Linked DNA regions of Stegostoma tigrinum. The protein of the gene in region 2 purifies or fractionates together with the protein of the main gene of each other region. This does not show direct contact. Links are inferred from orthologs where the notes say so. Each region holds a gene or a part of one and is shown on either strand. Other genes may lie near its edges.

Evidence for each region.
Region 1: the proteins of fen1 (region 2) and rad1 purify together in Homo sapiens (affinity purification with western blotting; 3 studies listed by BioGRID). This does not show direct contact. The link is inferred for Stegostoma tigrinum from reciprocal best matches to the Homo sapiens genes FEN1 and RAD1.

What each region holds. Positions count from the first base shown.
Region 1 is NC_081369.1:67,980,824-67,989,439, reverse strand, and holds the start of rad1 (cell cycle checkpoint protein RAD1), read right to left. Parts: upstream 3,908-8,616; 5' UTR 3,307-3,907; coding exon 3,115-3,306; intron 1-3,114. UniProt on the Homo sapiens protein: Component of the 9-1-1 cell-cycle checkpoint response complex that plays a major role in DNA repair. The 9-1-1 complex is recruited to DNA lesion upon damage by the RAD17-replication factor C (RFC) clamp loader complex.
Region 2 is NC_081396.1:649,851-658,176, reverse strand, and holds the start of fen1 (flap endonuclease 1), read right to left. Parts: upstream 3,422-8,326; 5' UTR 3,363-3,421; coding exon 3,281-3,362; intron 943-3,280; coding exon 840-942; intron 368-839; coding exon 265-367; intron 1-264. UniProt on the Homo sapiens protein: Structure-specific nuclease with 5'-flap endonuclease and 5'-3' exonuclease activities involved in DNA replication and repair.

The DNA.
Region 1 (8,616 bases), on a different chromosome or scaffold from region 2:
TAATCAGTCCTTGCCTTTCCAATGTAAACCCTGTCCCTCAGAATCCCCTCCAACAACTCATGATGTCAGGCTCACTGGTTTATAGTTCCCTGACTTTTCATTATCATCTTTCTTAAATAGTGACACTTCATTAGCCAACAAACAGTCTTCTGGCACCTCACCCGTGGCTATCCATGATACAGATATCTCAACAAGGAGGCCAGCAATCACTTCCCTTGCTTCCCACAAACCTCTAGGTACACCCAATTATGTCTCGAGAATTTAACCACGTTTATGCGTTTTAACATGTCCAGCACCACCTCCTCTGTAATATGGAGCGTTTAAGATATCGGTATTTATTTTTCCAAGTTCTCTAGCTTCCATATCCTTTTCCAAAGTAAGTGCTGATGCGAAATATTCATTCAGTATCTCACCTACCTCCTGCAGCTCCACACATCGGCAGCCTTGCTTCTTTTAGGGGCCCTATTCACTCCCTAGTTAATCTTTTGTTCTTAATGTATTTGTAGAGTCCCTTTGGATTCTTCTTAGTCCTACCATGTCTCCTTTCTTCCCATCCTGATTTCCCTCGAGAATACTCCTATTACCCTTATACTCTTACAAGGATTCACTCGATCCCTGCTGTCTATATTTGATAAATAATTTCTTCTTTCTGGGCCTCAACTCTATGGTCATCCAGCAATTCCTCACTTACCAGCGTTGCCCTTCACACTACCGTATTTTTTGAAGGTTTCCCACTTTCCAGACATCCATTTTCCTGTGAATACCCAACCCCCAACATCCCCCAATTAACTGTTGATACTTCTTGCTTAATCAGACTTACTCCAATTTAGTTCTTTAACATTTAGATCAGGTCCAAGCTTTTCCACGACTGTTTTAAAATGAATAGAATTATAATCACTCGGTCCAAACTGCTCCCCCATTGATACCGCAGACACTTGCCCTGCCTTATTTTCCAGGAGAAAGACACATTTGCCTTTTCTCTAGTAGGTACATCCACATACCAAATAAGAAAACTTTCTTGTGTACACTTTACAAATTCCTCTCTGTCCAAGCCCTTAACATGGCAGTCACAATTTATGTCTGGAAAGTTAAATTGCTTTACAGTTACACCCCTATTATTCTTACTGATAACTGAGATCTCGGTACAAATTTCTCAATTTTCCGCTGACGGTTCCTCTGTAGACTCTTTGGTTATCCTCACCTCTTAACTTTCCAAATTCTTTTTTGTATCATCCAAAATCTTGTTGATAATACAATCACTTCCCACATCCAAGTCATTCCTATACAACTACAAAAAATTCCACAGTATCTCTTTTCAGACTCCAGACTCAGCCCCAAACTTGCCACAACTCCTTTCCTTCCCTCTCCCAGGGCCCGGTATCTGCTCTTTCCCCCTTCCTCTGTCCAAAGCCCTTGGCATTTTTACCTCCTCCCCCAGTATCGTCCCATGGCCCCTAAACTCCAGAATTCTCCTTCCCCAACTACCCTGCACTGTATCCTCCACCCTGGATCCTCTCCCACAACCCCAATTCCCCACGCACACTCCCTTTCCCGATCCCCCCCTCATATCCTCCGTAACACCATCCCCGATGAATTCTCACACCTGCCCCCCACCCAGATATTCCCACACTACCCCACCCGCCACCAAACCTCCCTCACACCCTCCCCTGGCACCACCCCTCACAGTGAACCCCCCCACCTCCCAATACCCCTCTCAATCCCTCATACCCTCCCCGACACCACCGCTCACAGTGACCCCCACAACCGCCTCACACCGTTCCCACCTCCCACCTCCCAATCTCCCCTCAATCCCTCACACCCTCCCCCGGCGCCACCCCTCACACTGACCCTCCCAATCCCTCACACCGACCCTCCCAATCCCTCACACCCTCCCCCGGCACCACCCCTCACACTGACCCTCCCAATCCCTCACACCCTCCCCCGGCACCACCCCTCACACTGACCCTCCCAATCCCTCACACCCTCCCCCGGCACCACCCCTCACACTGACCCTCCCAATCCCTCACACCCTCCCCCGGCACCACCCCTCACACTGACCCTCCCAATCCCTCACACCCTCCCCCGGCACCACCCCTCACACTGACCCTCCCAATCCCTCACACCCTCCCCCGGCACCACCCCTCACACTGACCCTCCCAATCCCTCACACCCTCCCCCGGCACCACCCCTCACACTGACCCTCCCAATCCCTCACACCCTCCCCCGGCACCACCCCTCACACTGACCCTCCCAATCCCTCACACCCTCCCCCGGCACCACCCCTCACACTGACCCTCCCAATCCCTCACACCCTCCCCCGGCACCACCCCTCACACTGACCCTCCCAATCCCTCACACCCTCCCCCGGCACCACCCCTCACACTGACCCTCCCAATCCCTCACACCCTCCCCCGGCACCACCCCTCACACTGACCCTCCCAATCCCTCACACCCTCCCCCGGCACCACCCCTCACACTGACCCTCCCAATCCCTCACACCCTACCCCGGCACCACCCCTCACACTGACCCTCCCAATCCCTCACACCCTACCCCGGCACCACCCCTCACACTGACCCTCCCAATCCCTCACACCCTACCCCGGCACCACCCCTCACACTGACCCCCCCAATCCCTCACACCCTCCCCTGGCACCACCCCTCACACTGACCCCCCCAACCCCCCTCACACTGACCCCCCCACCTCCCCTCACACTGACCCCCCCACCTCCCCTCACACTGACCCCCCCACCTCCCAGTCCCCCTTCAATCCTTCACGCCCTCCCCTGACAACCCCTCACACTGACACCCCCCCAAATCCCTCACAACCTCCCCTGACACCCCCCCTCACGCTCTCCCCTGACATCCCCCTCACACTGACCCCCCCAATCCCTCACACCCTCCCCTGACACCCCCCCAATCCCTCACACCCTCCCCTGACACTCCCCCTCACACTGACCCCCCAAATCCCTCACACCGACACCCCAAATCCTTCACACCCTCCCCTGACACCACCCCACTGACACCCCTGAATCCCTCACACCCTCCTCCCAATCCTTCACACCCCACCCCCGACACCCGCCCGATGAACTCTCACACCTCCCACCCCCCCGGTACCTGGATGAACGCGTTCCCCTGGACGCTCTTGGCGGCCTCAGCTGTCACCCTGATGCCGTTAGCGGAGGCGAACACCGTCGCCTGGTCTCGGAAATTAACGGCTTTAAGCAGATTTGACAGATTCCGCACATTTTCTAAACTGGCGACGAGAACAAACCGTTCGGCTCCCGCCTCAGGCCTGGGCTGAGGCATTGCGCCCACGATCGGTAAAACTCCAGGCCCAGGCTTCAGTCACGGTTAGGCCGCAGCTGCTTCCGCGGAGTCTCAGCTCCAGGCAGCAGACAGATACAACAGGTTTGAATTGATGAATAAATCTTCGGCACTTACAGCCAACTAAACCATTCAATCACCATTGAAACCGTAGGAGGCCATTCAGCCCGTTGTGCCTGTGCAACGCTCGGGCTGTCCTTCAGCTTTGTCTGTTCAATTCCCTCCTTTGGCGCCGCGCCCGCCAAACTATCAAACACAACCTGTTGCTGCTGTCAAAATGACCCTCCTCCAGGGATCGTTTATGTCTTCTAACAACTCTCTTAAATCTGTGCAACTCCATCAGCCTCCTGTACCCTAAATAAAACAAACTCAGCCTCCTGTACCCTAAATAAAACAAACTCAACCTGTCCTTCAGAACTGATACTTTTCATTGCAGGCAATATCCTGGTGAATCTCCTCTGTAACCTCTCCAGTGTAGTCATACAAAAAAAGAACAAAGAAAATTACAGCACAAGAACAGGCCCTTCGGCCCTCCAAGCTTTTGCCGATCCCAGATCCTCTGTCTAAACCTGTCACCTATTTTTCACCTATCCCTCTACTCCCTGCCCATTCATGTATCTGTCTAGATACATCTTAAAAGACATTATTGTGTTCGCCTCTACCACCTCCACTGGCAACACGGTCCAGGCACCCACCACCCTCTGCATAAAGAACTTTCCAGACATAGCGCCCTTAAACTTTTCCCCCTCTCACCTTGAAATCATGACCCCTAGAAATTGAATTCCCCACACTGGGAAAAAGTTTCTTGCTATCTATACCTCTCATGATTTTGTAGACCTTGATCAGGTCCCCCTCAAACTCCATCTTTCTAACGTAAACAATCCTAATCTACTCAACCTCTCTTCATAGCTAGCGCCCTCCATACCACGCAACATCCTGGTGAACCTCCTCTGCACCCTCTCCAAAGCATCCACATCCAGGGCTGTTAAGAAGGCATACAGTGTTTTAGCTTTCATTAATAGAGGAATCGAGTTCCGGAACCAAGAGGTTATGCTGCAGCTGTACAAAACTCTGGTGCGGCCACACTTGGAGTATTGCGTACAGTTCTGGTCACCGCATTATAAGAAGGATGTGGAAGCTTTGGAAAGGGTGCAGAGGAGATTTACTAGGATGTTGGCTGGTACGGAGGGAAGGTCTTACGAGGAAAGGCTGAGGGACTTGAGGCTGTTTTCACTAGAGAGAAGAAGGTTGAGAGGTGACTTAATTGAAACATATAAAATAATTAGAGGGTTAGATAGGGTGGATAGGGAGTGCCTTTTTCCTAGGATGGTGACGGCGAGCACGAGGGGGCATAGCTTTAAATTGAGGGGTGAAAGATATAGGACAGATGCCAGAGGTGGTTTCTTTACTCAGAGAGTAGTAAGGGAATGGAACACTTTGCCTGCAACGGTAGTAGATTCGCCAACTTTAGGTACATTTAAGTCTTCATTGGATAAGCATATGGATGTACATGGAATAGTGTAGGTTAGATGGGCTTGAGATCGGTATGACATGTCGGTACAACATTGAGGGCCGAAGGGCCTGTACTGTGCTGTAGTGTTCTGTGTTCTATGTTCTATGTTCTATCCTTTTGGTAATGTGATGAACAGAACTGTACACAGTATTCCAAATGTGGTCGAACCAAAGTCCGAGACAACTGTAACATGACCTGCCAACTCAATACCCCGTCCGATGAATGAAAGCATGCCGTATGCCTTCTTGATCACTCTATCGACCTGCATTGTCATCTTCAGGGTACAATGGACGTGAACACCCAAATCTCTCTTTGCATCAATTTTCCCCAGGACTTTTCCATTTACCGTATAGTTCACTCTTGAATTGGATCTTCCAGAATGCAACACCTCGGATTTGCCTGGATTGAACTCCATCAGCCATTTCTCCATCTAACGTCCAAGCTATCTATATTGTGCCGCATATTCTGACAGCCCCCTTCACTATCTGCTACACCGCCAATCTTAGTGTCATCTGCAAACTTGCTAATCAGGCCATCTGTACCTTCCTCCAGATCATTTATGGAACATTCATCGGTACTGGATATGAAATTTGTTGAGGGCTAGGAAACAGTGATTAATAGCCAGTGGGTATTTCATGGGCTGGAGGACAGCTTGTAATAGAGGTTTTGGGGGCTGAGCATTATAATCATAGAATTTAACACTATAAAAGGAGACCATTTAATCCATTGTGTTTGAACCACATTTTGAAAGAGCCACCCAACTGGTCCCATTTTCCGGGCCCTATCCATGTAACCTTCTAAATTCATCACTTTTATGTGTAGACCCATCTCTCTTTTGAAACCTCCTATCAAATCCACCTACGCTGCACTACCAGGTAGCACATTCCAAATGCTGACAACTCGCTGAGTAAAGACGTTTTTCCTCATTTCACTCCTACCTGGCTTACTGACAATCTTAAAATTGTAACCACTAGTTACTGACATATCAAGTAGTAGAAATAGAATATCCTTCTTTACCCTGTCAAAATTGTTCATAATTTTGAACACCTCAGTAAGGTCACCTCTTAATCTCTGCTCCAAGGAGAATAAGCCCAATTTCTCTATTTTTTTCTAATATCTAAAATCCCTCATTCGTATTACCATTGTAATAAACCTCCTTTGAACTCTCACCAGATGAATAAGCAGTGCTCTGTTTTCAAATAAACATGTTGGACTATAACTTGGTGTCATGTGATTTCTGATTTTGTCCACTCCGGTCCAACACCGGCACGTCCACAGCATGACTTTAACATCCTTCTTTAAATAAGGTATCCAGAACTGAACACAATTTTAAATGTGGTCTTACCAATAATTTGTGGAGGTGTAGCATCACCTCCTTGTTTTTTTTTCAAAATATGATTTATTGGGCAAAGTATCTCAAAAGTACATTCTATGTTGATATTGTTTAATATCATAGTACACAAAGTCTTTTAGTGTTACCATAGTTCAACTGATACCATAAGTAAACAACTCACATCTGGAAACATTGAAATCAATAACACAAAGTGTATGCAGTTAAATAACAATTCTGCTGATAAATAAGATTCCACACGATGATTTTACTTGGTATTGCCTGACTACATAATTCCATATTCCTTGTACACGGATTTCAGTTTTTCCACAGAGATGATGTAATCTATTTTCCCAAAATCAATGGAAATGCCAAGCACTGAAATCTTTTTTTCTCCATTTTGTTGTGATCAATGTTTCCATCCCCCAGGCATTTGTATTCCAGCTCCAGCTCTTCTATTTCAGGGACCAATTTTTCACAAATATTATTGGTGCCCCTCACAATGCCCTTGTATTCCAAGCTGCCCTTCTTGCTAACCCTCATTAGGATGTATTTGAAAACCCTGAGATAACTAGGTGTAGAGCTGGATGAACACAGCAGGCCAAGCAGCATCAGAGGAGCAGGAAGGTTGACGTTTCAGGCCTAGACACTTCTTCATTTTCGAAAAGGTACTAGGCCGGAAACATCAACCTTCCTGCTCCTCTGATGCTACTTGGCCTGCTGTGTTCATCCAGCTCTACACTTGTTATCTCAGATTCTCCTACATCTGCAGTTCCTACTATCTTTGAAAACCCTGTCAGGATATCTCCATGTTGGCCACAGCAGTCGGTTTGACTACGCGTCTTTTTATAAACCCAAGGATCCTATAAATTTTCTTAACAATGATTTCAACTTACCTGGCCACCTTCAGAGAATTTTGTGAACCCCGAAGTCTGTCTGCTCCTGTATTCCCTCAGAGTTGTATCATTGAGCCTGTATTGTCAATTTTTTTTTCTACCAAAATGCATTACTTGACATTTCTCTCCAATGAAATACATCTGCTAAGTGTGAGCCCATTTGGCCAACTTGTCAGCATCCCTCAGGGGTGACACGGCAGCTCATTGGTTAGCACTGCTGTCTCACTGTGCCATGGACGTGGTTTCAATTCCAGCACTGGGCGACTGTATGGAGTTGGCACATTCTCCCATGTCTACATGGATGTGCTCCGGTTTCCTCCCACAGTCCAAAGATTTGCAGGCTAGGTGCAGTTTCCATGCTAAATGCAGGGTCACACAGATAGGATATGGGGGTGGGTCTAGATGGAATGCTTTTCGGAGGGCCATTGTCTCGAAGGGCTGAATGGCCTGCTTCTACACTTATCTTAGTCACTCAGCATCATCCTCACAATTCATTATTCACCCTAGCTTATAATGATTTGCAAATTTAAAGATTTTCCCTCAACATCTATCTTCAAATCATAAATATAAATCAGAAAAAGCAAGGGTTCCAACACCAGTTCCCGGTGATCACCATTTTTAACATGTCTCTGATCTGAAAAATGCCTATCTATTCATACCCTCTTTTTCCTATCTTTTAAACAACTTTGAATCCCTACCATCATGTACCCAATGATCTAAATATAAAAGTCTAAATATACAGCATTAACAAAACTACCCTTATCCTCTGCCTGTGTTACCCTGTCAAAGAAGTTAACTAAATTTGTCAGACATGATCTGCCTTTGACAAAGCCATGTTGATTGCCTAGTATTAGCTTATTTTACTCTAAGCGTGTATTTACTTTATCCCATATTACGGCCTCCATCAGTTTACCTACCACTGATGTCATGCTGACTGGTATGCAGTCCTGGGTTATTATATGCCTGTTTCTTAAACAACAATTGGGTCCTATTCTGATCTTGATACATATAAATAATCTAGATCTAGGTGTTCAGGGTACAATTTCAAAGTTAATAAATGACACAAACCATGGAAGAATGTTAAGCCAATAGGAGGACAATGTAAAAGACAAAAGGCAGTAGACAAGTTGGGTGGAACGGATAGATACTTGATAGATGAAGTTCTGTGTGGAAAAGCACAAGGTGATATATTTTGATACAAAGGACACCAAATGACAGGATATTCTGAAGTGTATGTGTTCTGAAAGGTGTGCAGGAGCAGAGAAACCTGAATGAATAGGCACATAAGTCATCAAAGATACCAGGACAGGTAGAGACAGCTGTTAATAAAGCATTGAGTAGAGTTATACATTTGTACAGCATGGAAACAAACCCCTCAGTCCAACTCATTCAGGCTGACCAAATATCCAATATTAATCTAGTCCCATTTACCAGCATTTTGCCCAGAAGCCTCTAAACCCTTACTATTCATGTACCCATCTAGATACTTTTTAACTATTACAATTGTACCAGCCTCCACTACTTCCTCTGGCACCTCATTCCATAGATGCATC
Region 2 (8,326 bases):
CTCCCCATCGCACACAGGGTCACTCCCTCCCTCCCTCCTCGATCGCGCACAGGGTCACTCCCTCCCTCCCTCCCCGATCGCGCTCAGGGTCACTCCCTCCCTCCCCGATCGCGCACAGGGTCACTCCCTCCCTCCCTCCCCGATCGCGCACAGGGTCACTCCCTCCCCGATCGCTCACAGGGTCACTCCCTCCCTCCCCAATCGCACACAGGGTCACTCCCTCCCTCCCTCCCCGATCGCACACAGGGTCACACACTGATGTACCTCTGCAGATTTGAGGTCGGGTGGCTTCCCATCGAAGACGTAGACGGGTTTAATCCCATTCTCAACCATCCGGATTGTCCGATAAAACATTCCCATCAGATGGCTGAGGAGAACAGAGGTGGGAAAGGCAGAGTTTGCAGAAGGTGTTTGACTGGCTACGGCACACCCACCCAAAATCTCACAGCCAATAAAACCCCAAACTCTCACGGACTGAGGGAGCGGGCCGCTGCCCGAGGGTCGGCGCCCAGGTAGCGGGCCGCTGCCTGAGGGTCGGCGCCGAGGGAGCGGGCCGCTGCCCGAGGGTCGCGGCGCCGACTGGCCGTTCCTTCAGTGCAGCTGGGTCCGAATCCCTGGAATTCCCGGAATTCCCTCCCCTGAGGAACACTGTGGGTCGACCCCACAGCAAATGGACCGCAGCAGCTCAAGGAAGCAGCTCACCCCCAACCTTCTCGGGGACGGGGGCGAAACCAGGGACGGGGCGATCAATGGTGGGCCGCGACAGCGACTCTCACCTCTGCGTGCACCCAGGCGTCTCTCTCCATTCCCCCCACCCTCGCCCAGCGCCCCCCTGTTACCTGGTGGTCTCACCAGCTTCGTTCTGCAGCACGTTCCCATCCTGCCGGACCGCAATCAGAAACTGGTAGATACTCATCGAAGCATCGATGGCGATTTTGCGTCCTGCAGTGGGGTTTTTGGGCGGGGGGGGGTGGTATTTGTTGGAGGAAGAGATGGAGAAAGGGCATGGGTGAGCAGCTTTGGGTCAGGAGGGGACAGGCAGGATGTCCAGGAGGCCATCCCAACCCCTCGCTCCCTCTTGACGGGTTCAGGCGTGTTGGGAGGGGTAAGGAAGCGAATGTAGAGTTGGCCGATTTGCAGATGGCTCCAGGCTGGTGGGACAAAGATGCTCAGTTGCCCGTCACCCTCCCCCCGCCGACCCTTCCACGCTCTGGTCTCATTTCCAAAGGGTCGCAACCCCCCCCCCCACCCAACAAAAGGCTAAGTAAGAGATCAAAAAGGCGAGCAAACGGAGAGGAGTACGATGCATGCGCGCAGCGCGGTGGGGGCAGGGGGAAAAGGCAGGAGAGCTGCGGAAAGCTGGCAGAGACAGGGAGGTCTCCGGCCGACACAAGCTGCCAGCAGGAAACAGCGAAGACGTTGGTTTCGGATCGGGACGACGCACCAGGAGTATTGCCGGAACTGGGAAAAGGAAGCGCGGCAGACCGAGTGAGCGCGCTCGTGTAAAACAAATTAACGGCCAACCACAATTCTCTGAGCGTCGGCACATTTCCCGGTCGGATTGCAGCCCCTGAAGGATACGAGAGAACGGGGTACTTTGTAATAACAAGCTCCAGTGCTCATCAGGGTCTGGTTCAAATCCAAGTACTTGGTGGGACGGGGCAGGGGGTGACTTTGAGTTGCACAGCACCAAAAGAGGCCCTTCAGCCTAACTCATCCATGCTGACCATGTATCCTAGTCCCATTTGCCAGCATTCAGCCCCCTGTCCCTCTGAACCCTCCCTACCCACGTCCCCATCCCGATGCTGTAACTGTACCGGCCCCCACCCCCTTCCTCCGGCAGCTCCTTCCCCCACACGCACCACCCTCTGTGTGAGATAGTTACCCCCCTCAGGTCCCTTTCCATTCTCCCCAGGGGCCCCATCCCAAGCCCGCCCCTCACCTTAAACCAATGCCCTCTGGTGGTGGGCTCCTGGACACTGGGGGAGCAAGACATCGGCTGTTAGCCCCCTGTCTGTGACCCTCAGAAAGATGGCCACTGGGACACTGAGGGAGCGCGGGGAGACTCACACAGAGAGCTGGCAGCGGGAGCTTACAGGGAAAGGCTGGGATGGCAAGGGACACGAGCAGGCAGCGAGACGGTGTGCGAGGCACGGTGGGCCCAACGCGCGCCCTCCCTTCCTGCCCAATGCACATCCTGCCCAGTGCACACCCTCCCCACCTGCCCGGCGCGCCCCCTCCCCTCCTGCCCGGCGCGCCCCCTCCCCTCCTGCCCGGCGCGCCCCCTCCCCTCCTGCCCGGCGCGCCCCCTCCTCTCCTGCCCAATGCCAGTGCACACCCTCTCCTCCTGCCCAGTGCACATCCTGCCCAATGCACACCCTCCCATCCTGCCCAATGCACACCCTCTCCTCCTGCCCAATGCACATCTTGCCCAATGCACAGCCTCCCCTCCTGCCCAATGCACAGCCTCCCCTCCTGCCCAGTGCACATCCTGCCCAATGCACAGCCTCCCCTCCTGCCCAACGCACACCCTCCCCTCCTGACCAATGTCCGGTGAACACTCTCCCGTCCTACTCAATGCACATCCCACCCTCCCCTCCTGCCCAGTGCACACCCTCTCCTCCTGCCCAGTGCACCTCCTGGCCAGAGCATACCCTGCCCTCCTGCAGAGTGCCCACCCACCCCTCCTGCCCAGTGCACATCCCACCCAATGCCCACCCTCCCCTCCTGCCCAGTGCACGTCCTGGCCAGAGCATACCCTGCCCTCCTGCCCAGTGCACCTCCTGGCCAGAGCATACCCTGCCCTCCTACACCGTGCCCACCTACGCCATGCCCACCCTCCCATCCTGCCCAATGCACATCCCACCCAATGCCCACCCTCCCCTCCTGCCCAGTGCACCTCCTGCCCAATACACACCCTCCCCTCCTGCCCAGTGCACCACCTGCCCAGTGCCCACCCTCCCCTCCTGCCCAATACACACCCTCCCCTCCTGCCCAGTGCACCACCTGCCCAGTGCCCACCCTCCCCTCCTGCCCAATGCACATCCGACCCAATGCACACCCTCCCCTCCCACCCAGTGCACATCCCACCCAATGCACACCCTCCCCTCCTGCCCAGTGCCAACCCTCCTGCCCCGTGCCCACCCTCCCCCACCCTGCCCAGTGCCCAGTGCCCAGTGCCCAGTTTCCCTCCATCCAGGGCCGGGTGCAGGAACCACATGGCCGGACACACATATTGCACCCTCCCCCTGGGGGTGGGGGCCGGGGGCTGTGCATTCACCGAAATAATGTTTCATTTGCTGCTCCCTGACGGCTCCCGGGGCCACGTCCCCGAGCAGTTTCGCTAAGCCCTGGATCCCCATCTTCAGCGCGCCACCGGGCCGGAGTCCTCCAGGGGGCTGCGCCGACCTCCGGTCGCATCGATCGCGCAGTCCTCCAGGTGCGGTGCGTCGATCGCCGACCGCATCGATGTGCCCCTATTAAAGGGGCAGCCCACCCACTGAGATAATGGGAACTGCAGATGCTGGAGAATCCAAGATAGTAAAATGTGAGGCTGGATGTACACAGCAGGCCCAGCAGCATCTCAGGAGCTGCTTGGCCTGCTGTGTTCATCCAGCCTCACATTTTATTATCTTAGCCCACCCACTGAGAAAGGATTTGAAATGCGGGCATTTCGCCTCAATCCTGTGAATTTTTATTTCCTTCCTCCCCATCCTCCACACACACAGACGCCTCACCCCACCCCCCACCGCCCCGGTTAAAGGTGGCATTGCTGAGGGTGACGGAGCAGACCCCATGGGCCGAATGGCCTAATTTCTGCTCCTACGCCTTATGGAGTTTATTTCCAAACCCGGTTTCAGTTTTCGGGGGGAGCACACAGGGTGAGGTGATGCAGCAAATCTCACCACTGACCAGAGATATGTTCGCTGTCTTTAACATAACCCGACCCATCCTGGCTCACGGTGACCATAGCATCGTCTGCAGGCCGTACAAAACCATCTGGGGTCACGGGCAACCACTGGGGAAGGAAAGGCCATGACCCCGGGCCCGGTCAAATCCTCAGTATTCCTGAGAGAGACTCTCTGTTATTGTCCCTGATCCTTTAATATCCCCAGAAGTCCCAAGAGAGACACACTGTTATTGTCCCTAATCCTTTAATACCTCCCCGAAAGGTCCGAGAGAGACACACCATTATTGTCCCTGATCCTTTAATACCCGCTGAAAGGCCTGAGAGAGAAACACCGTTATTGTCCCTGATCCTTTAATACCTCCTGAAAGGACCCAGAGAGAGAGAGAGAGACACCCCTTTACCTGTGGATAGGAAGCAGTTTGAATTAAAAGGTCACTAACCTGGGGTCACAGTCTTCTGCTGGAAGGCATGAGGTTTAGAGGATATTTGAGAAAAATGTTTTACATCCAGAGACTTGTGGGCATCCGGAATGAACTGCCAGGGTGGGTGGTAGTGCTGGGTAATGTCATAACCTTTAAAGATGACTTGGATGAGCACTTGAAATGTCATGATGTCCAAAGCTGTGGGCCTGGGGCTGGAAAGTGGGACTCGTGCAGATTTATCGCAGTTTTGGCAGTGCAGACCTGATGGGCAAAGGGAGGGCCTCTTCTGAACTGCATGATTCTATTCCATGATTTAAAACAGGGATGAGGAGGAATAACTTCTCTCAAAGGGCGATAAATCTGTGGAATTCATGACCCCTGTGTGCAGTGGATGCTGAGAGTGTTTAAGGGCACAGACAGATTTTTAATTAATAATGGGTTAAAGCATTATGGAGAGTGGGTAGGAAGGTGGAATTGAGGCTCACATGAGATCAGTGGTGATTATATTGGATGTGGAAACATTGGAAAAGGTGCCGAGGAGATTTACCAGGATATTGCCTGGAATGGAGGGAAGGTCTTACAACGAAAAATTGAGAGAGCTACGGCTTTTCTCTTCAGAACAACAAAGGATTAGAGATGACTTGATCGAGGTGTACAAAATGATCAGAGATAAAGAGAGAGTGGACAGCCAGAGACGTTTTCCTCGGATGGAGGTAGCTATTATGAGGGGACATTGTTTTAAAGTGAGTGGAGGTAGATATAGGGGAGACATCAGAGGTAGTTTTTTTAAGTCAGAGAGTGGTAGGGGCATGGAATGCATTGCCAGAGAGGGTAGTGGAGTCGGCCTCATTGGGGGCATTTAAGCGGCTATTAGGCAGGCAAATGGATGATAGTATAAAGTAGGGGTGGAGGTTAGGTAGACCTTAGGTTTTGGGTAAATGTTCGGCACAACATCTTGGGCCGAAGGGCCTGTACTGTGCTGTAACGTTCTACGTTCTGTGAATGGTGGATCAGTTCAAGGAGCTGAGTTGCCTCGTCCTGCTCTTACTTCTCATGTAGCTCAGTCTCATTTGCAATTTCACAATCTCTGTCCTGTATAACCTCGGTTCTGAGGAAGAAGCATTCTCCACAGATGTTGCCAGACCTGCTGACCTTTCTCAGCACTTTCTGTTTCTGTTTCTGTTTCTGTTTCTGTTTTTGTTTCTGATTTTCAGCATTCGCAGTCTTTTCAGTTTCTGTTTCCAGCTCCTTTGATCACTCCCACAGCTTTGTGTCCCATGCCAGTGAACCCGGAGACATGACATTGAAACGTACAGGATAGGAGCGGGAGTAGGTCATTTGGACCCTTGATCCTGCTCCATCATTCAATATGATCAAGGCTGATCATTCAGTTCAATTGCCTAACTGCACCCTCCCCTCCTATATCACTTGGTCCCTTTAGATACAAGATGGAAATCTAGATTATGTGTGAGGGTGAGAGATTTTGTCTGCAAGAGATAGTGATTTTGTGTGAGAGTGAGATTGTGTCTGAGATAGTGAGATTGTGTGAGTGAGATTATGTCTGAGAGAGATAGTGAGATTGTGTGAGTGAGATTATGTCTGAGAGAGATAGTGAGATTGTGTGAGTGAGATTATGTCTGAGAGAGATAGTGAGATTGTGTGAGTGAGATTATGTCTGAGAGAGATAGTGAGATTGTATGAGTGAGATTATGTCTGAGAGAGATAGTGAGATTGTGTGAGTGAGATTATGCCTGAGAGATAGTGAGATTGTGTGAGTGAGATTATGTCTGAGAGATAGTGAGATTGTGTGAGTGAGATTATGCCTGAGAGATAGTGAGATTGTGTATGAGAGAGAAAGTGACATTGTGTTATACAGAGAGTGAAAATGTGAGAGTGAGATTGTGAATGAGAGAGAGATAGTGGGATTGTGTATGAGAGAGAGAGAGAGAGTGAGATTGTGTATGACAGACAGTGAAAATGTGTGAGAGTGAGATTGTGAATGAGAGATTGTGTATGAGAGAGTGAGAATTTGTATGAGAGAGAGTGAGATTGTGTATGACAGAGAGAGTGAGTGAGAATGTGTATGTTCGAAATTTATGTGGATAAATGGAATAAATACGAGAGCAAAACTTTGAGAGTGTGTCAGAGTATTGTTACACTTTTAGACAATGATCCTAGTCCAGAAGCAGCAGGAAGCCTTTCTCTCTACATATCACAACAGTTTCCATTATTCCCTTGAAAAATTCAACTATCTCCGATCCACCGAGCTTTCAGAGATTCAGTCCCGAGTTTGTGTCATTTCACTCCCTTGCCATTGAAACCTCACTGTCCAGCTATCACTCTGGTGGATCTACACATCACTCAAACACACACAGGCTCCCCAGGTCCCCACCTCTCCCTGTTATAAAGTCAATGTCAGAGCTGTGATAACTTGAAATGGCTGCCGTGAACAAACCTAAAATGGCTGACTAACTGACTCTGACATTTGTCATCCTGGCTGTGCAGATTGAAACACATCTCACACTTTTTGTACGTTACCAGCTCTCAGTCTCCTGTTAATGGAATACAGAAAGATGTGAACTGATGCTTTTTGGATGTTAGACTGAGGAGGGACGGTGTAAATAAATGGTACAACATTAAACTGGCTGCAGGAACAGAGCAGCCTTCAGTTTGGGTCTGGAATTCTGTCAGCACAGGAGAGGGGAAAATGTGTCAGAAGCTGTTTACATTCATACATTCCTGCGTGGTGGAAATTTGTTTGTTTTGCAGAAGCAGGAGATGGGCAACACTGTTAGCAGGGACATGCAAGTTTCGATCGATTAAAACACAAATTCCAGATTCTGTCTAAAGCTACTGCCTCGAGATAACTAATGTTTTTTTCAGCAACGTCTATCGAACGCTCCAAGCTTCAGACAGGCAGAGAGATAGGACTGTACAAAAAAGCGACATTGTCAGGTGAGTCACTGAATTGTAGGCCTTGATCAGAATCTGCTTCAGACTTTTAATCTGGAGTCAGGCTTGTTTTATTCCCGGAAACAGGGATTTATCAAGTGCCATGCTGTCCTGCTGTGCTTTCAAGCTGTGTGCTGAAAGCCTATGAGAAGATTATGTAGCTCAGGTGGTGGGTGAGGGTGTAGACCTGCTGGCTGAGCCATTGTGTTTGATATTTTGTCACCGTGCTCGGTAGCATCGTCAGCGTACCTCTGGTGTAGTGTCAGCGTTTCGTCCCGCTGAGATTTATACACCCCGGTTTCATTCCGGAACTAACTCCAACCACTCCTAAAAACCGAGGCATATAACTATCTAGCAGGACACAACCTAAGAACACAAGAGCAGAAGTTAGGCCATTCAGCCCATCGAGCCTGCTCCACCATTCAATATTGGCTGATAAGTTCCTCAACTTCATTCTCCTGCATTCTCCCCGTAACTCTTGATCCCCTTGATAATCAAGAACCCATCTATCTCAGTCTTAAGTGTACTCAATATCCTGCCCTCCACAGCTTTCTGTGGCAATGAATTCCATCGATTCACCACTCTCTGGTGAAGAAGTTTCTCCTTATCTCCATTCTAAAAGGTCTTTCCTTTACTCTAAGGCTGTGCCCTCAGGTCCGAGAATGTGAGTGTGAGTATGTGTATGTGTATCAGTGTGAGTGTGTGTATCAGTGTGAGTGTGAGTATCAGTGTGTGTGTATCTGTGTGAGTATCAGTGTGAGTGTGAGTATCAGTGTGTGTGTGAGTATCAGTGAGAGTGTGAGTATCGGTGTGAGTATCAGTGTGAGTGTGAGTATCAGTGTGAGTACCAGTGTAAGTGAGTATCAGTGTGAGTGTGAGTATCAGTGTGAGTATGAGTATCAGTGTGTGTATCAGTGTGAGTGTGAGTATCAGTGTAAGTGAGTATCAATGTGAGTGTGAGTATCAGTGAGAGTGTGAGTATCGGTGTGAGTATCAGTGTGAGTGTGAGTATCAGTGTGAGTACCAGTGTAAGTGAGTATCA